Linked DNA regions of Coturnix japonica. The protein of the gene in region 1 interacts with the protein of each later gene in a biochemical or structural test. Links are inferred from orthologs where the notes say so. Each region holds a gene or a part of one and is shown in the gene's direction. Other genes may lie near its edges. The genes, in order: CDC25A, CHEK2, FBXW11, YWHAQ and CCNE1.

What was found.
Region 2: of the proteins of CDC25A (region 1) and CHEK2, one has a biochemical effect on the other in vitro, tested with the Homo sapiens proteins (5 studies listed by BioGRID, with this or other methods). The link is inferred for Coturnix japonica from reciprocal best matches to the Homo sapiens genes CDC25A and CHEK2.
Region 3: the proteins of CDC25A (region 1) and FBXW11 form a complex in vitro, tested with the Homo sapiens proteins (2 studies listed by BioGRID, with this or other methods). The link is inferred for Coturnix japonica from reciprocal best matches to the Homo sapiens genes CDC25A and FBXW11.
Region 4: the proteins of CDC25A (region 1) and YWHAQ form a complex in vitro, tested with the Homo sapiens proteins (2 studies listed by BioGRID, with this or other methods). The link is inferred for Coturnix japonica from reciprocal best matches to the Homo sapiens genes CDC25A and YWHAQ.
Region 5: the proteins of CDC25A (region 1) and CCNE1 form a complex in vitro, tested with the Homo sapiens proteins (2 studies listed by BioGRID). The link is inferred for Coturnix japonica from reciprocal best matches to the Homo sapiens genes CDC25A and CCNE1.

What each region holds. Positions count from the first base shown.
Region 1 is NC_029517.1:561,020-565,339, forward strand, and holds part of CDC25A (M-phase inducer phosphatase 1), read left to right. Parts: coding exon 1-41; intron 42-693; coding exon 694-828; intron 829-1,422; coding exon 1,423-1,497; intron 1,498-2,598; coding exon 2,599-2,751; intron 2,752-3,031; coding exon 3,032-3,124; intron 3,125-3,457; coding exon 3,458-3,520; intron 3,521-3,619; coding exon 3,620-3,718; intron 3,719-4,271; coding exon 4,272-4,320. UniProt on the Homo sapiens protein: Tyrosine protein phosphatase which functions as a dosage-dependent inducer of mitotic progression. Directly dephosphorylates CDK1 and stimulates its kinase activity. Also dephosphorylates CDK2 in complex with cyclin-E, in vitro.
Region 2 is NC_029530.1:6,762,129-6,765,805, reverse strand, and holds the end of CHEK2 (serine/threonine-protein kinase Chk2), read left to right. Parts: intron 1-1,255; coding exon 1,256-1,336; intron 1,337-1,791; exon of another isoform or gene 1,792-1,874; intron 1,875-1,946; coding exon 1,947-2,038; intron 2,039-2,538; exon of another isoform or gene 2,539-2,543; coding exon 2,544-2,553; 3' UTR 2,554-2,826; downstream 2,827-3,677. UniProt on the Homo sapiens protein: Serine/threonine-protein kinase which is required for checkpoint-mediated cell cycle arrest, activation of DNA repair and apoptosis in response to the presence of DNA double-strand breaks.
Region 3 is NC_029528.1:13,891,710-13,896,029, reverse strand, and holds part of FBXW11 (F-box/WD repeat-containing protein 11), read left to right. Parts: intron 1-297; coding exon 298-435; intron 436-727; coding exon 728-846; intron 847-1,280; coding exon 1,281-1,530; intron 1,531-2,680; coding exon 2,681-2,799; intron 2,800-3,354; coding exon 3,355-3,465; intron 3,466-3,781; coding exon 3,782-3,860; intron 3,861-4,315; coding exon 4,316-4,320.
Region 4 is NC_029518.1:87,878,912-87,883,029, reverse strand, and holds the start of YWHAQ (14-3-3 protein theta), read left to right. Parts: upstream 1-1,318; 5' UTR 1,319-1,470; intron 1,471-2,348; 5' UTR 2,349-2,439; coding exon 2,440-2,733; intron 2,734-4,118. UniProt on the Homo sapiens protein: Adapter protein implicated in the regulation of a large spectrum of both general and specialized signaling pathways. Binds to a large number of partners, usually by recognition of a phosphoserine or phosphothreonine motif.
Region 5 is NC_029526.1:7,172,095-7,176,975, forward strand, and holds the start of CCNE1 (G1/S-specific cyclin-E1), read left to right. Parts: upstream 1-1,738; 5' UTR 1,739-2,073; coding exon 2,074-2,087; intron 2,088-2,178; coding exon 2,179-2,269; intron 2,270-2,415; coding exon 2,416-2,484; intron 2,485-4,881. Other genes in the region: uncharacterized protein F13E9.13, mitochondrial-like, read right to left, coding at 838-920, 1,410-1,482. UniProt on the Homo sapiens protein: Essential for the control of the cell cycle at the G1/S (start) transition.

The sequences.
Region 1 (4,320 bases):
GTGTTCTTGGACAAAGGCAGGACTCAGCCCTGGCTCAGGGAGTAAGTACCTCAGTGGTGTTGGTAGTTATTGTCCTGTCCTCTGCACACCTGCTGGGAGGAGGAAAAACTATCATGGCCCTGTTCTGAGACAGTGCTGTTAATCACCACTGTTCGTGTGCCCAAAAGGGAAGCTTATCTTTCTATCAGATGCAAAAACTGGTTTTGTCTGGGGCTCAGTATTTGGGCAATACTGAGCTGTGGCTGTGGTGCAGAGCATCCAGTGAGTGTGGGTGTCAGTGCAGAGTAGATGTAGTTGGATCCTTGCACGGAAACAGAGCCTTGGGGGGCAAGTCCTGTCTGTACTTGTTGAATTTGGTAGAGCTTTGTCTTGGTACTCCTGACCTTGTGTTTGTTAACTGCAGTCAGTGTTAGTTCCCATTCTCTGCCATCAGTTGTTTCTCTCCTTTGTAATTCACTATGCAGTGTTTCCAGGAGAGGAGCTCTATTGATTAACCAGGCTAATGGAGCACACTGCTGTAAGGACTAAATAAAATATGAGGGCTTAGTTTGGGGTTTGCTCAGGTCAGTGTATTCAAGGGGCTGGATTAACCACTAACTTGCCTGTACTTCCTGATGGGATGGCATTGTTTCTATCTGCAGCATCCTGCTGTAAAGAGATGGAATGTCATTAAAACTAAATGTTTTGTCTCAGTTTCCCACTCAAGAAATGCCCACGGGTGAAGTGGAAAACTACAGGCCAGCTTTCCTGCAGCAGGCTTCTCTGCCTTCCTCTGAAAGCGAAGATGATGATGGATTCTTGGAGCTCTTAGATGAGCAAGATCTGAAGGTAGGTACAAAAGCAGTGCAATGCTCTTCTAATCAGCTCTGTATAATGTGGCGTCTGCAGCATATGCATGTTCTGGTGGTAATTCAGACTGCAGGTAGGCAGGCATGAGGGATTATTGGAGGACTCAGTGATGTTTCTCAGCTCTTCCATTGTAGTGTCTCTGTTTTATGTGCCGTTCCCTAGTGCAGACAATGGGATTTGCTTGGTGTGTGATCAGCAGTTAGAGAGGTATTGCTGCTGTTCCTTCTGGTGTTTGAATTGTGAATCTATAGAGGGTGATTGAAAGAGTTGGTGTTTTCTATAGAAGTTCTCTGAGGGAGCTAAAGGTAATATTTGCTTTCAGATCACTTAAATAGAAGTCCAGTTCCTAGATGAACTCGACATGCTTAAGGCTTTGGAAGAGCATTGTTTTTAATCAATGAATGAGTTGATTTAGCTTATCCTTTCCAGTGTGGCTCAGCTCATCGCTCAATGAAATAACAGAGCTGGTAATGGAGTTGTTAAAACTGCTCAGGCTTACAGGAGTCTCAGGTGTTTACAGTGTCTGTCAGCAGTGAGGCAGATGAGAGTGAACTTTCTTTCTTTCATTCTCAGAATGATGAGGAGATGCCGTCTGACGTGTCAAGTCTCTGGACTGCACCGCTGGTCACCAGGAGGCCATACAGCCGGGTGAGTGTTGTCCTTGTGTCCATCTGCCCCCCTGGGCCCTGTGGTGGTGGTGGCTCTGATCCTGTACCTCCCATCACAAAACGGGGCAGTGCAAGACCCCTGCAGTATTGTGTTACTGTTAAGCCTGCTGCTTGGGAGATTGTGTCAGTGTAGGATGGTGCTCACAGTGGGTGTGTATCCACGTTAACTTGCTTTTTACAAAAACACTTATAAATGGGAGGAGGTCTTGACTTCTCTTATCAAATACTGGTGTACCTTGAATGCAGCCCTCACAGCCCTACCTGGGATGCCTGTAACCCACACTTCGGATAATAGGCTGTGAGGGCAGTACAGGCTCAGAATCTGCCGTGGTCTGCTGGTTGATACAAAGCGTTCTGCCAGCATGTCATAATGTGCTCTGAGCTCACCCAGTCCTCACAGCCAGAAACAAGTGTTAGTGGGAACATAAGCCCCCAGTGTAGGTGATCCTGAGCACATCCTGCTGTTGCTGTGCTGTGACAGCACCTTAGATGAGCCAAACTTTACTGCAGTCATATCATGTAGAATGGGGAACTCCTGCTAGCATCACAGTCCTGTTCACATGGCAGCTCCTGCATTGCTGGTGCTCTGCAGGCATTTGCAAGGGTGATTCATGCAGAATGGCCAGGGCTGGAAGGGACACCAAGGATCATGAAGCTCCAACCCCCTGCTACAGGCAGGGCCACCAACCTCCCCATTTCAGAGCAGCCCAGGCTGCCCAGGGCCCCATCCAACCTGGCCTTCAACACCTCCAGGGATGGACGGGGCATCCACAGCCTCTGGGCAGCTGTTCCAGCACCTCCCCACTCTCACAGTACACAGCTTCCCCCGACATCCACCCTCAATCTGCCCTCCTTCAACTCCAATCCATTTCCCCTTGTCCTGCTAATATCATATCATCCTGTCATTGAATGGCTTGGGTTGGAAGGGACCCCAAGGATCATCAAGCTCCCACCCCTCTGCTGTAGGCAGGGCTGCCAGCATTTAACGCTAGACCAGGTAGTCTGGAAGTCTGAGGCTTGCTTAGTTTCTCTTAGTTTTTAGTCCTGGTCTTTGCTAGACATCTTCACTGTCTGCCCCCAGGCCAGGCGATGCCGCCTCTTTGGCTCTTCATCTCTGCCCAGCGGCGTAGGCAGAACCACCCAGAAAAGAATGGAGAGGTCCCAAGAGGAGAGTTCTTCAGGGAAAAGCAAGAAGAGGAAAAGCCTACCTGGAGCACAGTCTGAAGACTCAGAGGTTGGTGGCTTGGTGTAGTTTGGTGTTGCGGTGGAGAGTTAGAGCTCAGATAGAGGGGTCTTGTTTGTGAAGGTCAAGGAGGGTGAGTTTACGGGGGGAAGTGCTGGTCTAACAGTGTGGTGTGGGGCTGATGGAGGTGCTGCAGTAGCTGTGTGTTCCTGCATTGATCCTAAAGGGAAGCTGTGCATCAGGCTGTTAGTAAATGCTGACTCTTACCCTGTGGGGAAAGGGTCTCGTACCATCGGTGTTTGGCACTCATCTCTAACCTGTCTTCCTCTAGAACACAAAAATAGTAAAGACGCAATCCTCTGCAGCAGAAATCGAGAGCATTTTGGCCAGTGACCAGAGGGACCTTATTGGTGACTTCTCAAAGGTAATTGATTTGGTTTAATGGTCTCTTTTAGAGAGGTGTTATGAACCAGCCCCAAGTAAAGCGCTTCCCTTCTTCAGAGTACATCCCCCAGTCACTGGTGAAGGCTGCCAGTGAGAATGGTGCTCTCATAGGTCAGTCCTGAAGGATTTCTTCAGGATCTTCAGTGTAGGAGCCAAAGAAAAGCTGTGTCCCTCAACCTTGGGGTTCTGGGGTTTATAAATGCTGTGCTTGGCTCAAGAGATCCTTGTCAGTGCAGTGTTATAGAGCTGGGTGCTGTGCTGCTGTGTGGATTGTGGCTGGAATGTGCTCTGCTAAATGCTGTCTGTTTTCTAGGGTTATTTGTTCCATACTGTCGATGGGAAGCATCAAGATTTAAAATACATTGACTCAGAAATGGTATGTGCTCTGGGGACAGTGGGACGTTCTTTACTGAAATGGTTAAAAAAAAAGCCCTGAAAACAATTAAACGGTGCTTCGTTTGTTTGCTTTTTGCAGATTGTGTCTGTCCTGACTGGGAAGTTTGCAAGCTTCATTAAGGAGTGTGTGATCATTGACTGTCGCTATCCGTACGAGTACGAAGGAGGACACATCAAGGTATGTTGTGGTAGTGGGAGAGTAAGGCAGAGCTGCGTGGAGCAGCAGCCTGGACTCATTGTGCCTGTGTGCTGTGTGGATCTGCACGCACACTTGGTTTGTGGAGTAGCTCTGTAAGGGGGGAACTGCTCCCCTTCTCCTTCTGCAGAGGAGCAGATGAGTGGGCAGGCAGTTCCAGGGGAGGGTGTGTGACCTCCAGTGCTCGGTGTCCTCATCTCTGGGGTACTGAGAGGAGTCTCACAGTTGATTTAAACCACAGTCTTTTGCTATAGAATGAGTGGCTGTGGAGGCTATTAAAGCTTGCTGACCCTCTCTAATACAGTGAGTGAAATCCAGCTGGCTGCTTCTAGCTGCTGATGGGGCCCTCCTGAAGTGGGAGGCAGCGCAGCACTGGGCTGTGTGCAGCATTGCTTTGGTTTGAAGCTCTGTCTGCAGCATCAAGAGAGGGCTGGCAGAGCTCCCCTAGGAGCTGAGGAGAGCTTGCCCTAAAGTGGGGTGCACTCATTGCTGTGCTCCACTTACTGTGTGCTTTTGGGTTTGGCCACCTTCGCAGGGTGCTGTGAACCTCCACATGGAGGAGGATGTGGAAGACTTCCTGCTGA
Region 2 (3,677 bases), on another chromosome or scaffold:
GTGTTAACTAAATGCCTTTTGCACGTGGAATTCCTTTTTCCCTGAGGTTGCCTGGTGTAGACCAAGGGCACCTCAGTCCCCGGCAGCTGAACCAGAATGAATCTGTGTGCTGTCTTTTTCTCTTGAAACACGTCTGGCTTTCTGTTAAACAATAGGTTTTTCTAACTAATGGTCTGTGCTTTCCTACCTCATGCTGCCCTTTCCTCTACTAATGCTCCTGCAGCCAGGCTTCTTTATGCAGAAGTGTGACTAATAACATCCCTATGTCCACTTCTTTCCATTAGTAGCAGCTTCTGGCTTATCACTTCTGGTAGAGAATAAACTATATTATCCAGTAAACTTGTTATGGTAGGGAACAGTGTAGCAATATGAATGGCCTATGGATAATAAATATTTGTTAACAATCATTTGGGTTTTTAAAAGTGAAACCTTCCATTGACAACCTCTAATATGCTCTGTGGATATAGGGTAGAGGTAATGGTGGGGTATTTTAAAAGTAAAAGTTGTTACTGTCATTTTAATATAGATGTTTTAGCTGGTTCTTCTCTACTTAGTGTATACAATAGATTGTTTAGGAGGAGGATGGTGGGTTGGAGATGTGATTAAAAACTACGTGTTGAGATAATGCTAAGCTGGTGGAAATGACAATATTGTTAGAAATGTAAGACTATAAGCAAAATACTTGTTTTTCAAGAGCGAGGAACTTGATTTTGATTAAAGCAAAGTGCCAAGTCCTGATGAGGCCTCTCCTGATGAAACTGACCAGTGAATTATCTGCACAAGCTCCTAGCCCTGTATGTTTTGCTGTTTCAGTACTGTTATACTTCATTGTATGGTATTATCATTTCAGCTTTTGCTTGACTGGTATTAGATAAGTAAGAATAAAGTCTGTGGGGAATAAAGCCGATGTTTCAAAGGACCAACGTCCTGATGATGTGTAACCTACTTGCTGCAAAAATAGTGTCTCCTAATTCCTTTTCTCAGTTGTGTTGTGTTAAGGATAAATTCACCACTTCCTTCACTGGGCCTGGTGTTGGAAACCTTAGAGAAGGAACTGTGACACTGTGCAGTGTTTTACAGCTACCTGGAGCAGTCATTTCAGATCCTTTCTCCTAGCAATACATGCTTTATTTTTCTAACGGTGAGGAGAAGAGTTATATCCCTTTCTCTTTTATTTGTTCCACAATTGCTGGTCCACCTTAAACATTCCTCATAATAATTAAGGCTGATGGTTTGTTTTGTTTTGTTTTAACAGGATGAGGATATGAAAAATACATTTCAACAACTACTTGCTCAGACAGGTGCCACTATGAATCCACCACAAACATCAAAAATGGTATGAATGGTGGATTATGTGAAGATTAATACTTGGTGCCTATGCTAGATTTGAAAGTAAACCATAATAAGAACATGTAATCCTGATAATTTAATATAGAAGTGTACATTATGCCTTTATGTAGCAGTCTATTAATTCTTTCCTGCATTCTTGGTAGAAGAAGTTTACTTTTGTGCTTTGGCAAGATACTTTGAATGTAAAGAAACTGTCTCGTAGGCTTTAAAGGACTACCCATATATTCAAAGTTCTGTACGTGAACATGTCTGTTTGGATGGATTTAAGTCATGAATGTTTAATATTCAAAGGCAAATTCTGATGGCAGTGGAACTTAGTGGTAATGGTGATATTAATTACTAGACAGCAATTAGCATTGTTTTAAACAGCAGTCAAAGCAGGGAGCAACTGAGAAAGAAAAGGGAATAAGGGCAGTGTCTTACATGAGAAGGATCACTTACCATTAGATCACTGGAGAGAAACGCTCGTTAGTCATGCTGCTGTTTCAGTTACAGGAGGGAGACTTTATCCAACATCTGTAATTCTGTAGTAGACAAAACAGTCAAGCTCTGTCTCACCTGATTAATGTAGCCATCCTGCTGCATCTTTCTTTTAGCCGATTGCTATGAGAAAACGTCTCCATGAAAACGAGGATGAATCTGTCCCTTCGAAGCGTGTGGCTCCTTCTACGTCATTTCAGAAAATGAGGTGAAAAAGGGGACTTTTTTTGTTAATTATTGCTTTATTTTATGGAAAGCAGAATTTTTATTTTTGAAAATCCTATTGATGGAATAACGTTTGAAGATGCAATTGATTAAATAAAAACGACTTTGTAAGAATGAAGTAACTGCTGTGTATGCATGGGAATTTACATCAATAGTCATTCTGAAGTTCATCCATCTGTTTGATTCAAGAGGAATGTCAGATGTTTCTTCTTGAATGAAGTTACAAAAAACCTTGAGGCTAATTTCATTCCCATCTACACTTCTGTGCTCTTCTGTTCCAGTTTCTACCTTAGGCTTAAAGGTATTGCTTAGTCCTCCCACCATAGCATTACCTGGCACAAAATGATATCTGTAACCTCCTCATGAAACCTAGAAATAGAAATCCACTATGAGGAGGGCTATGGTTAGAATAATTGTAATCCTTAAGATGCCTGTACTTGCTAACTGTTCTCTTCTTGAAAAGTGTGCACTGTTTTTATTTACCTTAGGATGGACTGAATAAGAAACGTGGTAACCATCTTCCTTACATCATTGGATAAGCTCCTGTAAGAGAAGAACAAGGAATTAAACTGTGGAACAATTTAAAATGTTCTTGTCTGTTAAGTGGAAAAGTTTTTGGACTGTGCGCCAATTGCTAGAGGATATGAATTTAATTATTTAGTAAGAGGGAGCGATTTAATAACTTTGGCCTAAAACCACGCATGTTATGATTAGAGGCATTTACTGTAAATGGATTAGGAGAGAATAAAACCTAATCCATTACAAAACAAAGCACTGTCAAGTATAAATTAAGATAAGACACAAGGCAAGTTTTTCCCCGTTGTGCTTGTTGCAGACAGAGATCATATGCGTTATGAGATACTTGCATCTATCATTGTGAATGGTGAGGAGGCAGTAATTGCATAAACATTTTGCATGCTTGTTTCATGAGGGCCTGCAGTAGAAGTGGTGTCACAGCCTGATACAGTGATGGAGCACCTGGTAGGAAGGCAGGGCCAACCCAGGGGAGTTCAGGTGCAGGCAATGTACCTTCAGTAACTGGAAGGGGTGGAACCAGGATTCAACCCTTCTCAGACCTCATTTAAGGGTTGGCAGTGGAGGTGTGGGTATCTTGCTGGAGAACCCTGCCTATCTGAATTTTTCCCAAGGTAAGAAACTTTTTTTCCCTTGTTTTTGTGTCTTTGGTTGCTGCATTTGGGATCATTTTCATTTCTATAGCCTGGGGTTGTGCTACTTTGCTATTACTGCTGTGCTTTCCATTGTATTACAGTATTACAAGGCCACAAAAAAATGATCCAAGGAATGAAACACCTGCCCTGTAAAAACAGGCCAAGAGAAGAGAAGGCTGGGGAAGGAGCTGAGGATGAGCATTCAGTATCTAAAGCAGCTGTAAGAAAGAAGGAACTGACCCTTTAGAATACATTCTGATAGGACAAGGGGAAATGGTTTCAAACTAAAAGAGAGGAGATTTAGATTGGATATAAGGAAGAAGTTTTACACTAAGGGCACTGCAGATAGTGGGTACGGATGGCCTTCAGTGGTTCCTTCCAGCTCCAACCATTCAATTTCTTTCAACTTGCAGAGCCTGCAGCATTTGGAAGTCTCTGGGTTGGGTGCTGGTT
Region 3 (4,320 bases), on another chromosome or scaffold:
AGGTGAAACTGAAATGTATCTTTCTGATGGTTACTCTGAATGCTCTGATGAAGGCTGCTTGAGTGTGATTTTCAGCACTGAACGCTGCTTTTGTCATGGCAAAATATCGAGGTCTAAAGTCGCAGTGTCATAAGTGCTTTTATGGGTGGGTGGAAGAAAAATGTATGTGAATTTTGCATTTAAATCTTAAGGGTGAACTCTGTAACAGTGAGAATAGATTTGCTGGGCTTCTGTTGAAGTAACCACACTGGAGCATGCAGCCTCGTGACTAACTCCTGTTGTTTCACCTCTTGTTAGACTATAGAATCTAACTGGCGATGTGGGCGACATAATTTGCAAAGGATTCAGTGCCGCTCTGAAAACAGCAAAGGTGTCTACTGTTTACAGTATGATGATGAAAAGATAATCAGTGGCCTACGAGATAACTCCATTAAGGTAAATGCTTTTTTGGTCTTTCCTTTATAAGTGCCCCAGCATTTCTTCTTGTAAAACAGGTTTTTGTCTTTTCACAATCCTTGGTTGTTTTGCTGTAATGCCAAAAGCTTCCATCAAGGAGACTCCCCAAGTTAGAAGAGAGGACAAAAGTTGCTGTCTGGACATGCAGCCAAGGGTTCTTGCTGCTGTGTCCAGGTTTCTTCATTTCCTCTAAGTAGCAGCAGTATTCAAGTTTTTTGAACCCGTGTTCTTGGCAAGATGTTTATAGATTTTATTTTTATTTTTTTGACAGATTTGGGACAAAACAAGCTTGGAGTGTTTGAAAGTATTAACAGGACATACTGGCTCAGTTCTTTGTCTGCAGTATGATGAAAGGGTCATTGTAACTGGATCTTCAGATTCTACAGTGAGGTGAGTGTTAAGTTTTGGGGCAAAAAAAAAAACCTAAAAAAAAGTGAAATTGGGGTTGGGAATATTTGTAATAATCTTCAAATATCAGAAAACATCCCTCGTGTGAGTGTGATACCACTATTCCAAAAATAAGGTGTTTGCACGTGGGAAAGCATCATGTTCAGTCATTTTTTCCCCAGTCTGTCTCATGCTTTGTGGTGTTAAGCATTGTGAAGGAATGTGACCCGTATCATTCAAAGCACAACATGAAGTAGAATGGCTGATGCATCAAATACATGGTGAATACCTCATTTAGGTTTCTTACATCACCTTCTGACATACTTTAGTTATGACCTATAATGAAAGGAGGTTTTGTATGTGGAGCAACAAACACAAGACTTCAAATATGCATAATGTAGTTCCTTCATTTGGGATAAAATTCTTTTCTTTTGCAGGGTTTGGGATGTAAATACAGGTGAAGTTCTGAACACGTTGATTCACCACAATGAAGCAGTGCTTCATTTGAGGTTCAGTAATGGCTTAATGGTGACATGCTCAAAGGACAGATCCATTGCTGTCTGGGATATGGCATCACCTACTGACATCACCCTGCGCCGTGTCTTGGTTGGCCATCGTGCTGCTGTTAACGTGGTAGACTTCGATGACAAGTATATTGTGTCAGCATCAGGTGACAGGACCATTAAAGTAAGTTGGCTGAACTCTCCTGTGGGTCTGAATGCCTACTAAGCCAGAAAAGCTTCTGAAAGTTACAATTCAAATTGGAGTAGCCAAGGTTTTTGTAAACAGTTCTGTGCCTTTCTCCTTAGCATTCAGCTGGCTGCTTCCTCCTACTAGTTGTTAATGTCTTCTTGCTCATAACAAGTCTTGTAACGTTTTTGTTGTAACTGTTGTACAGCTCCAAAAAAGTAAAGCCTACTCTAATCTCAAGTTGGATTTGTTTGTTAAATGTGGCACATTTTGTGCCTTTTTCCAAACGTCAGTTTTTTTATTTCAATTGGCAGTCCTGTTCCAGACATGAAATTTATCAGCAGTTGCTTTTCCATTCCACACCTTCCCAGCTAAACCAGACTTTGCTGTGTTTAAAGAATTAAAATGCTGTATTTTGAAAAATTTACATACCAGAAAATTTGAGTTACCCAAAGTGTATCAATATAACAAAAGCGTTTCCACCCTTCCTTCTCTACCACCAGAGCTACCCTGGAATGTGCCAAAAAGCTCTTGGCAGTTCCATGTCTGAATATCTGCCAAGAAACCCACTGCACTTCTTTTGGAAAAGGAGCTACTTTACATGAGCCCTTTATGTTACAACTTCAATAACAGTTCATTAAAAAATGAACAAATTTCATCAAAAACATTAAAAGAAGAAGCAGCCACAGGCTTTAATAGGCCGTGGCTTTGGTCTTCTCTTAGAAGCAGATTGCTAGCAGTTAATTTGGTAAAAAAATACAGCTTATTTTTGCATATGAGGTAACATCCTCTCTTTTAAAGGATTACTAACTTACCAAGATTTAAGTGTCATCAGCCTTTCAAGGTCGTTTGGACCAGTATCACCTGCTACTTGAAAATATTTTACGTATGCCCTCTACTTCCAACCTCCCAGTCTTTCTCATTGACACTATGTACAATAGCAGAGCTGATGTCTCTTGTCATTGCTAGGCTCTGTAATGCCATCCTCCACTTACACCACGTGCCTCCTCTTTACCTGCAAAAACACTATGGAAGATTTCATTCTGCTGTCCAGCAGAAGTCAGCCTCAGGCTTCTGCTTATGAGTTTGTAACAGCTTCTGTTGGAAGTCAGAAACCTTTATTGAGCATGATTCTCATGTTTCGTAGGTCTGGAGTACAAGTACGTGCGAGTTTGTTCGTACGCTAAATGGGCACAAGCGTGGCATCGCATGCCTGCAGTACAGGGATCGACTGGTTGTCAGTGGATCTTCTGACAATACCATTAGGTGGGTGCCAGCAGGCTGTCAGTATGTATCTATGTACATTTACACATGATAACTCATGCAAACCATTTTCAGTATATCTTGCCATTGAAGCAGATGCTGTTCAACTAGTTAATATGTCACATCCATGTGAAAAAGTGAGACTGTGAGGTTCAGATGGAGGGAAACAAAACCCTCTATTCCTGTAGTTTATGACCTTGTTTTCTACTTGAGAGATGGAGACATTGGTCACTGGTTTTCATGCTTTCTGAACCTTTAGTAATTACTGATTTATGCAGGACAGAAAAGTATGTTAAGGTTTCTTAAAATAATCTAGCAAGTGTACAACCTTTACTTAATGTAATTTTGAATGTCTAGATTAGTTTTTATGTACTGCAGCTGCAATGCAGTTTTCTCTGAATTGCATACAAGGAAAATCTAGTTCTACCAGCTGCTCTTTTTTGCAAATTGTGGTATTTTCTGCAGGAACCCATTCAGTAGTATGCTGAAATCACTGTGTGTAAGGTAAAGGGATAGCCTTGAACCTGAAATGCTCAGGCTTTCTTCTGTTCTTTTAAGGTTATGGGACATTGAATGTGGTGCCTGTTTAAGGGTATTAGAAGGCCATGAAGAACTGGTCCGATGCATCAGGTTCGACAATAAGAGGATTGTTAGTGGAGCCTATGATGGGTATGTTTCTAAGAGCTATTTCAAAAGGTTCCAAACTGACTTGTGTATACAAATGTAGTTAGTTGGTCTTGAGTATAAACAACCCACTTGGGCCATCACAAAGACATCACTGTATTTGCTGCTTAAAAGAAATACAAAACTGCCCGTGTTTTATGGGATTCAGCTTTAGTAAATTAGTGAAGATAAATTATAACATTTTGCTCGATGCTGATAAATCAGCTGGAGGGAAGATCTGGAATATTCTGTCCATTGCTTTTAGAAGTTTCTGTGCTTACACTTGAAACAATGCTTTTAACCTTCTTATCTTTCTTTATAGCAAAATTAAAGTTTGGGACTTGCAAGCTGCTCTTGACCCCCGTGCCCCAGCAAGTACATTATGCTTGCGTACGTTAGTGGTATGTATAATTAATTAATTAATTTGAGGATTTGAGCAGTGTGTCCTAGGTGAAGCCATGATGTGTACAAAAACTGGGTTAGCAGCAGTGTTGAATGTGAAATGTTATGTAAGATGGAACCCCTGGTGTGGACCGTTATTGCCAGCCAGTCTTTGTAGATCGATGCTTCCTGATAGACTGTGTTAGTCTTAATAATGTCAGCCTCAACATGTGCAGTGGGCCCCTGCAGGGGAGAGGCAGGGCTTATGAGTACTTTATTTGAAAGCTGTGTGTTATGCTGAACAACGTTTATGTATGAAAACTGCTTTTCTTTAGAGTCAAGTGTGATTATAACTAAGGGCTTCTTAAACAGAGCACCAAAATTTTAATACACCATTCTGCATCCAGGTCTGAGTACAAACATAATGAATTGTTATCCTCTTCTTGGCCTCCTAACTGATGTCCATTACTCACAGGAACA
Region 4 (4,118 bases), on another chromosome or scaffold:
TTTAAATAACAAGACCAACACAGTAATTCTTTCTGAAAGAGTTTCATTAACTTCATGAGGAGCATTACCAATAGGCACCTTTTTTTTTAACAGAGTAAATGCATCCCTCCATTGAAATGACCGGCAGTGTCGGTTCACAGCACAGACCTAATGCCCACATGCCTCATCACAGCCCTATCTGAACACAGACAGGAGCACTCCGAGCTGAGACGACAACATCCTGAGGTGATTCAGAGCATTCATCATCCCTTCAGGATGCTGGAGTAGCAGGACATGACTAAATTTGGTGATGCTGGAAGCAAAGGTGAGGGATTTCACTGCTTCACGTAGACACTGTGCTGTTTGAAGGGAGGTTTGAGCCTGAGGCCTTTAGGACCAATGGACATCGATGGTTACTGATGTCAGCGCGGGTCGCTCCCCGCTCAGGGCCCCACGGCACAGCGCCATTAACTCTTCACGAGCAATTTCCTGTCACCGGGCTCCTGGGGCACAGCTCACAGAATGACCCGGGTTGGAAGGGACCTCAAGGATCATGTAGTTCCAACCCCCCTGCCTGGCAGGGCCACCAAACATACACCTTTACTAGATCAGGTTGCCCAGGGCCCCGTCCAACCTGGTCTTGAACACCTCCAAGGACGGGGCATCCACAACCTCCCTGGGCAGCCTGTTCCAGGACCTAACCACTCTCCTAGTGAAGAACTTCCCCCTAACATCCAACCTAAATCTTCCCTCTCTCTGAAATCTCTCGCCCGACCGAGCGGCGGCACAAAGGCAGCATTCCTGACAGGAGACAACGCGCCGGGAGGGCGCCGGGCAGCCCAGCCCGCAGCCCAGCCTCGGCACCACGCACTGTGTCCTCCCACAGCCGCCCTACGGAGGGGGCACCGAGCCCGCCCCGCACGGCCCCATGGCGACACAGCCAGGGAGCTAAAGCACGGGCAGCCCCCACAGCACGGGCAGCCCCCACAGCACGGGCAGCCCCCACAGCACGGGCAGCCCCCACAGCACGGGCAGCCCCCGCCGGCCGCCCCCGCCCGTTCCCGCGCCGTGTCGGTGCCGACCCACCGTGGTGGAGCGGGGGTTGGGCGGGGGGGGGGTTGTAGCAGTATCGCCATGGCGACAGTGACGTCATCTCACCCTGGATCTAATTGGAGGAAACCCCGTGGCCCCAGCCGCAGCCCACGGGCCAACCGAGCTCGCGCCCTGCCCGCGCTCGCCCCCGCGGCGGCGCGCTGCCCTCGGATTGGCCGGCGGGGAGCGGAGGGGCGGGGCCTGGCTCGCAGGAGAGGCCGCGATTGGCCGCGTGGGCGCGGGCCGAGCGGCGGGTAGGCTCGGCCGTGCCAACGCCCTTTAGCGCTGGCTCTCGCCCGCTTCGGGAGCGGCTCTTTCTCTCCGCCACATCCCGAGCGAGGCGCAGCCGATCGGGTGCGGCCCGGCCCGGCCTAGCGCAGCGCAGCGCAGCGGACTCAGGTGAGCGCGGCGTGGGCCGCTTCCCGCCGGCCGTGCCGCCGTGCCCCGCCTCGGCGCCGCGTCCTCCATTTTGTGAGCGCGGCGTGGAGCGCTCGGCGGTGCCGGGTTGCGGAACGAGCCGCCGGGCGGCGCCGCCATTTCGTACCCGCCGGGGCTTCGTCCTCCGCGCCCGGCCACGCTCGTCCCGCTCCGCCGCCCCCCGCTTCGCGGTCCCCGGGGACGAGGCCAACGCGGAGCCGCCGGGCCCCGACCCCACCCAGCGGCCGGGAATGGAGGGGCTCCGTGCCGGGGCCGGGGCCGCTCCCGCCGGGGGGATGGTCCCGCCTCGCCCCGCCGCCAGGAGGCGAAGCGGCCCGAGCTGCCCGCCCGGCCCCGCCCGGCCCCGGCGTTGTCTCCAGCCCCGCTGAGCTGCGGCCTCAGCTCCGAGCGCGCTGTTCTCCTTTCTTTCTTTTTAAATAGCTTTTTTTTCTGTTTCCTCCTTTTTCTTTGCCCTCCCCTGCGGGGTGAAGGCACGTGGGGAAGGCCCTCGGGCTGCCTGGGAGCTGGGTGTCCTGCTGTGCGGCTCCATTGAGCAGCTCTTAAGTGTGTTGGCACAGTAAGGACAAAAGCCGCTGTGGTACGTTGGTACGACTGCCCGGTGCTCGGTCCTCTGGCCGAGGGACTGTGACCCATCCCCGGCTGGGTTTCTGGGCTGTTGCTTCCCCAGGGTGGGCCCGGTACCAGTGCCTGCTTCTGCCCAAGGGAGGGACGGTGCCAGTGCTGCGCCATGGGATGTACTTGGGAATGGGGAGCTCCCTACAGTCCCAGTAAGGGGGCTGCAAGGACACCATCCACAGCGTTGGCTCCTGGAGTCACGGTTGCTGTCCTTCTCCTGGCAGGCTCTGAGGCTCGTTCTCTTGCTGGCAGAGTGACGTCCTCAGCTTCTCCTGCCTTTGCTACAACACTGCCCTCGTCCTGCCGCCGGCCACCATGGATAAGACCGAGTTGATCCAGAAAGCCAAGCTGGCGGAGCAGGCTGAGCGCTATGACGACATGGCCACCTGCATGAAGGCGGTGACGGAACAGGGGGCTGAGCTGTCCAACGAGGAGCGCAACCTGCTCTCGGTGGCCTACAAGAATGTGGTGGGGGGGCGACGCTCTGCCTGGAGGGTTATCTCCAGCATCGAGCAAAAGACAGACACCAGCGACAAGAAGATGCAGCTTATCAAGGACTATAGGGAGAAGGTGGAGTCTGAGCTCAGGTCCATCTGCACCACGGTGCTGGTGAGTGGGGCCTTTCCTTTTTCCGTGTTTTATCAAAAGAGAGAAGCGGGATGCTGCTGTTTTGAGGAGGGTGGGAAATGGGCTGGGCACTATGTGAGCTATTATGCTGGAGTGGGTAGTTCAGTAACTTTTGCAGCTGCCATATTGGTTACTTTGAGACAGAAAATCATCTGCACTTTGCTGCGGGTGCTGTATATGCAGAAGTAATCGAGGTGTGCTAAGCTGTGTTTGAGATGCACATCTGATGGAGTTACCTGTGTGCAGTACTACGCTAGCTGAGCACAGAGATGCAGGGAATTTAGGCTTGTGCTTTGGTTTGTAAGCTAATCTTCACAAGGTAAGCTGAAAAGAAAATGAAAGCCCTTTATTTCTGAAGGTTGGTGCTAGTAACCTGTTAAATGCATTTAAATTAATGGCGTTCATTTAATGTGCTGCTTCATGTGAGGAAAAACACTCTTTAAAGGCCTTAAAGAGGCATTTTTTAGATTTTCTTTCCTAGGTAATAAGGTATGATTTCATAAAGGAAGACATCTTCCTTGAAAGTAGGAAAGAAAAAGGTAGAAATCTGCTTTGTCACACTCAAGTTGATTTAGTGGGGGCTGTTAAAAGTGAATTTGCAGTTATTTTGGACTAATGCACAACTGTGGCTTGGAAACAGGATATTCCATGACAGGTATTGTGCACCTGGGCATGTTTCAAAGCCCAGCAATATATTTCCATGTGAGGAGCAGAATTCCAGATGCTGTTGATGGTGAAGCAGCATTGCAGTGCAGCAGGAGCTCCACAGACCTGTGTCAGCAACATGGGAAGTGTGCAAGCCTGTTGTGTGTGATCAGGGTCTACTGACTGCAGGAAGCTGTGTGTGTGTAGTGCAGTGCTGATGGTGTGGCATGTCATCTTCAGTGGTTAAGCTGTGTATTTTTGATGTCTAGTATTGCAAGCATGAGAAAGGAAGTGAGTAAGGAAATAAACAGTTTTTGATTTAACCCTGAATCGGGTTAGGAGACCTGAGGTTAAAGATGGCTGGTTTGGAAGTAATGGATTTTGCATCTTGAGAAGTGTTTTGGCTCATGTACAAGGGTGCTTTGGATTGTATTGAAAATACTGTGTGCTTCCTCACATGCTGCCTCCTGGATTCGTTTCTAACTGTGAGTCAGAGGCCTTCTATAAAATCACAGAATCACAGAATGACCCGGGTTGGAAGGGACCTCAAGAAACAAGCAAGTCCAACCCCCCTGCCTGGCAGGGCCACCAAACATACACCTTTACTAGATCAGGTTGCCCAGGGCCCCGTCCAACCTGGCCTTGAACACCTCCAAGGATGGGGCATCCACAACCTCCCTGGGCAGCCTGTTCCAGGGCCTAACCACTCTCCTAGTAAAGAA
Region 5 (4,881 bases), on another chromosome or scaffold:
ACTGCACTGCCTCCATCATGTGACTTGTCTTGTATTTTAAACTCTGTCTTCTATAATTTAGACTAAGCTCTTAAGTTCCATTTCATTTTGTCTGTAAAGTATCATTGTAATTTCTGCTGCTGAAGTGTAACCCAGTAGAAACCTACTCAAAGTTTAGCAGAAAACAGCAGCTCAGAGCTGCAATGGTGGTTCAGCAGTAGCCTTCTCTTGCCTCCACCTAGAACGGTCAAAGCAGGAATGGCTGCTCCCATGGACTAGGATCCAAGGATTACAGTGGGCAGAGAAGGACCTAGGAGAATCTTTTGGTTGTAGAATAATGCTACTGCAGTACAAACACAAACTGTGGGGAAATCCTACAGCCTGTAGGCAAGTCATTCAGTACGTATGTCTGTGCCATGATTTCATGAACGCAGTGTGCCAAGCAGAGCTAAGTAAAGCAGCTTGTCAGACTGGATGATGAAGCATCCTACATCCAGATACCTAGAATGCCAGCAACAGTTCATATTGCTGTCAGTTTTCCATCTGTTTTATTTTTTTTTCTCTTTTATTGACTTGATTCTTGGGAATTGATAGTAATCCTATTTAAAAGACTCAAATTAGTTTGAATCTAAGCTTTTCCAGTTCCACAGGGTGTGTGTGTTGTGTAGTTCAGGTTTTGATACTTGGAGGGCCTACTTGTGTGGAAATAAAAGGTGCAGGTTTAAATGTCTTCCTGAACTCGGTGGTTTTAGGTGCTTTCCATGATTTCTAGGTCACTCAGACTCAATTCAATTCACTGGGTGTGCAGAAGCAGCTTTGTGTAAATACTGCCACGGGAAGAAGGAAACCAGGACTTACAACTCCAGCATCCTTGTAATCTTCTGCTTCTTGACAAGCTTGCTCAATTATTTGTGCCAACGGAAGAGAATTTCTCGGTGTCCCTGCAACAACAGTGCCATTTACCCCAATGTGAAGGCAAGCCATACAGCCAGTGATGCTTTTCTGATAACGCAGTTATATGCGCTGACATAATAAAATAGAGAGAAATGGGGTAAAACAGTTAAACGAGATGTGCTCCCCTTTGCTGAACGTCACAGCTCAGCTGTATCTGCTCGCTCCTGAAGCCACTCACAGATCTGAGGGTATTGATGCGGTGTTGTACCGGCACTTTCAGCTCTTTTACGGCCCGGCACACAGCCATGAGAACTCGGGCCGGACGCAGCACCACAGGGAGCCACGTGTCCGAGCTGTCCCGAGGCCTGTGCACTCCGCCCGGCCTATATCTCGTCATCCCTCATCTCTCTGAGCGCTCCCCCAGCGCTGCGGGTTCCCTCAGGTGCCCGTTCTTCCCCCGACCCCTACAGCCATGCCGCCCACTTTGCGAGCGGGTCCCGCAGCGCCGCGTGTTCCCCGTCCCGCCCCGCGCTCACCTGGCAGCGCAGCCACATGCACCACGCCGAGCACCGCCGCCCGCAGCCGCCCGAAGAGCCGCGGCCCCGCCATGGCAGCCCGTGTCTTTGGTCCCGCTGCCGTCGGCTCAGCCGCTCACCTCGCTTCACCCCTCCGCCGCGGGGTCGCGCCCGGGGCCTCCCGCCCCCCTCCCAGCTCCGCTTCCGCCCGGTGCCGCCGGCCCCGCCCCTGCTCACACCGTGTGATCCCGCTCCCCGCGGTGCCCCGCGCTCCCCCGGGGCCGGAGCGCGCCCGCAGACCCCGCCCCACCCGGGTGCCGGCCCCCGGCTCTGGGCGCGGGGCCACGTGTGCGGGCGGGAGGCGGCCCCGCGCCGCGCGTTTAAATGTCCCGCTCGGTGCGGGCCGCGATGTGCGCAGGGACGGGAGCGGCCGCGCCGTGAGGCAGGAGCTGCCCGCGGTTGGTGCCCGCAGTCGGTGCCGTGCCCCGCACGAGCTGCCCCGCCTCGTCCCCGCCGCCGTCGGGCGGGCACCGAGCGCCGCGCCCGCGCTGTGTCCGGGGAAGCTCCGGGGTGCTGAGCGCTCAGCGGGTCCCGGGGCGCGGCGGGGCCTTTCCGCGCCTCGTGGCTCTTTGTGGGGGCTGCGGCTCCCGGCTCCGCTCGTGCTCTCGGTCCGGCGGCGGGCAGCATGCGGAGGGAGAGGTGAGTCCGGCCGGCCCTGCGGGTAGGCCGGCTTCTCCGTTAGCGAGGCCGGGTGGGCGGCTCTTTCTTAACGCTTCTCGTTTCTTGGCAGCGACTGCGCGGAGGAGAAGGCTCCCGCCAAGGGGGAAGGGGGCGCCGAGGGGACCGTGCGGGCCCGCAAGAGAAAAGCCGATGTGGCCACGGTGAGTGCAGGCCCGGCGGGCGGCACGGCACGGCCTGGAGGGCGGTGCGGGCCTGGAGCTGCTCCCGCGGCCTTTTGTTGGGGGGTGGGTGGCCATGTGCTGCAGGGGGGGTGAGCGGCCCTAAATCCCTTCTTTTCTTTTTGTAGTTCCTACAGGATCCCGATGAAGAAGTTGCCAAAATTGAAATGAGTAGGAAAAAGCAATATGAAAGCCAGGTAATGACTGTGGCCTTAGATCACCTTCCTTTGGTCTTAGTAGCCTGTTGGTGCAGGATGTTGGTATTACACAGATATGCAGTTACCCCGTGTTGTGTGGTGGTGGTTGAGGGGACCACCAGCCCAGGCTGTTGAAGGCCACAAACCACCTTAGTGGCATGGCCTGCTTTGGAGCCTTTGCAAGGGATGAAGCCTACACTGCTTTAAACCATTACGTGAATGCTTCAGTGTACCTAAATGTCCCGGGGCTGCCAGGCTGTGCCCTACAAAAGCCTTCATACACACTTAGTTTTCCACACTGACGTACCTGGAGCCTTGTAGGAGTTCAGTGGTTCACTTACGTGCTGTATCCCGCAGGCCAAAGCATGCAGCCCTTTGGCACGCAAACAGAACCAAGTTTTGAGATGGATCTCTTTGTAACCCTGTCTTATGCTTACATATAACCTGGGAGAGAGGAAAGATCACTTGTTCCTCTTAGTTAGCTCTATTCTCATTGGCAAGTGTTTTTATTAGGTCGAGGGAGTACTTGAAGTTCCAGATTAGGAGTTTATAGTACTGGATACTACTGTGGTGGTGATGTGGGCTTTAGGCTTCTGCAGATGAAAGGGATGATTTGTTAAAAGCCTTTTATACTGTAGGCCAAAGAACAAATGAGGCTGCTCGCTGGGGTTGGTGGCCAGTGCCAGTTTCCAAATAGGACACTTGGCATGATCCAAGTTACTAAGTCAGACTGAACTCCAGTAGCATCCCCTAAACTTCTTAGTGCTGTTCTTAAGTTCTTCAATCTTGATACGTTAGTCGTGTTTATATTGGGTGCTTTATTGGTATCTGGTATTGAAAGCAAGATGCCTTTGTGCATTGAGATGCTTGCTCTAAATAAAAGAGCAAAATCAGCCTCTCGGAAGTAGGTTTATTCTTGTTTATGATTCTCTCCTGTGCATATGCACACACATGCTCACTCACTCTGTTGCAAGGACTTCAGCCAGTTAATGCACATGCAGGGTGATACTTAAGCTGCAAAAGTCATGATCAGGGAGTACAGACAGTACTCATTTGGTACGCGAGGCTATGCATAATGTGGCACATCTAACCAGAAGTGGCAGCTGGAAGTTCTAAGACTGAAGTGCTACCATAACAGATGGGCATCATTGTTTGGAATGGCCTCTGCTTGTTGCAACTGCGTACACTAGTTATCAGTCAACATATTAAGCAGGGCTCAAATGGTGAGCATTTAATGAGGGGATCTCTCCTTCCCTTCTGTCTTTCTTTTGTGCAGTATATTAAACTAATTTCTCACTACTGACAAGGAAGAGCTGCCTGTCCTTCACTGCAGACCCCTCCTTTAGCAAAACATTCTGGAAGAGCTTCTAATAAATGTTTATTCCATAATAATAAGGTACCATTGAAAAAACCCTTATTGCAATTGTAATTTGAAAAGCGGCTTGAAATATATTTTGCATACATTGATCTTCAGCTTTGGAAGTAGATACAGGGATACAGGCTTCCAATTTACTGGGGCTTTTTCTTTTTTCTTTTTCTTTCTATATGGTGTTGCTATTAAATGCTACTTCAGGAACGATAGGTATAGCAATATTCAGATAACTCAGGCAGGAGGCATCCAAAGTATTAATTTAGGAATTTTCCAAGCTGTCTTCAGGACGCTGGTGGGACTTTGGCCCTTTGATTCTGTAAACTGTAGATAAAAATGGATACCTGTGTATCAGTCTCTACACAGAGAAGGTTTTTTTGTTATGACAAAGTAGCCAGATTGTTACAGATCTGTTTAAAAAAGCTAACATTTGGCTGCACAGCAGCAGCTCTTCAGTCTATGGCTTGACACAAGCTATTCTCTGATATAAATTGCCATGGGCCACTAATGAGAATATGTTTATGGTTCCAGCAGCAGTATCGCAGGCTTGTATGATAGCCAGTGAGATAGTTATTCTGTTGAGGCACAACAATTCTAAAATGCAAGCAGCTATAAATCCTCTGCAGCCTGTTCCACGTGACTTCTACATTAAATAAACTGTTTACTGACACTAGGTTATACATGAGGCAAAATATCGTAGTCACATCCCACTTTATGGCATCTTCATAGTCAATTCATTAGTTTGCTTCTGTTGAACATAAGGCCTGAGTTCTTAATCAGAATGCTGTTACCCTTTATGTGATGGGAGGGTGGCTATATCATGAGGTTTGTGACAGCGGAATATTGCATCAATTCTGTGTTTGATTTTGGAGAACTGGCACTGCTGTCATTCTGTAAGCAATTCTCATATTAATTCTGGCTGCTTTCTATGGATGGATACACTTCCAAGGCTTTGCATAAAGCAAAGTTCATTTAACTTGATGAGAGTAATCCATGCAATTATGATAGAAAATGCGTGTTCTCCTGAA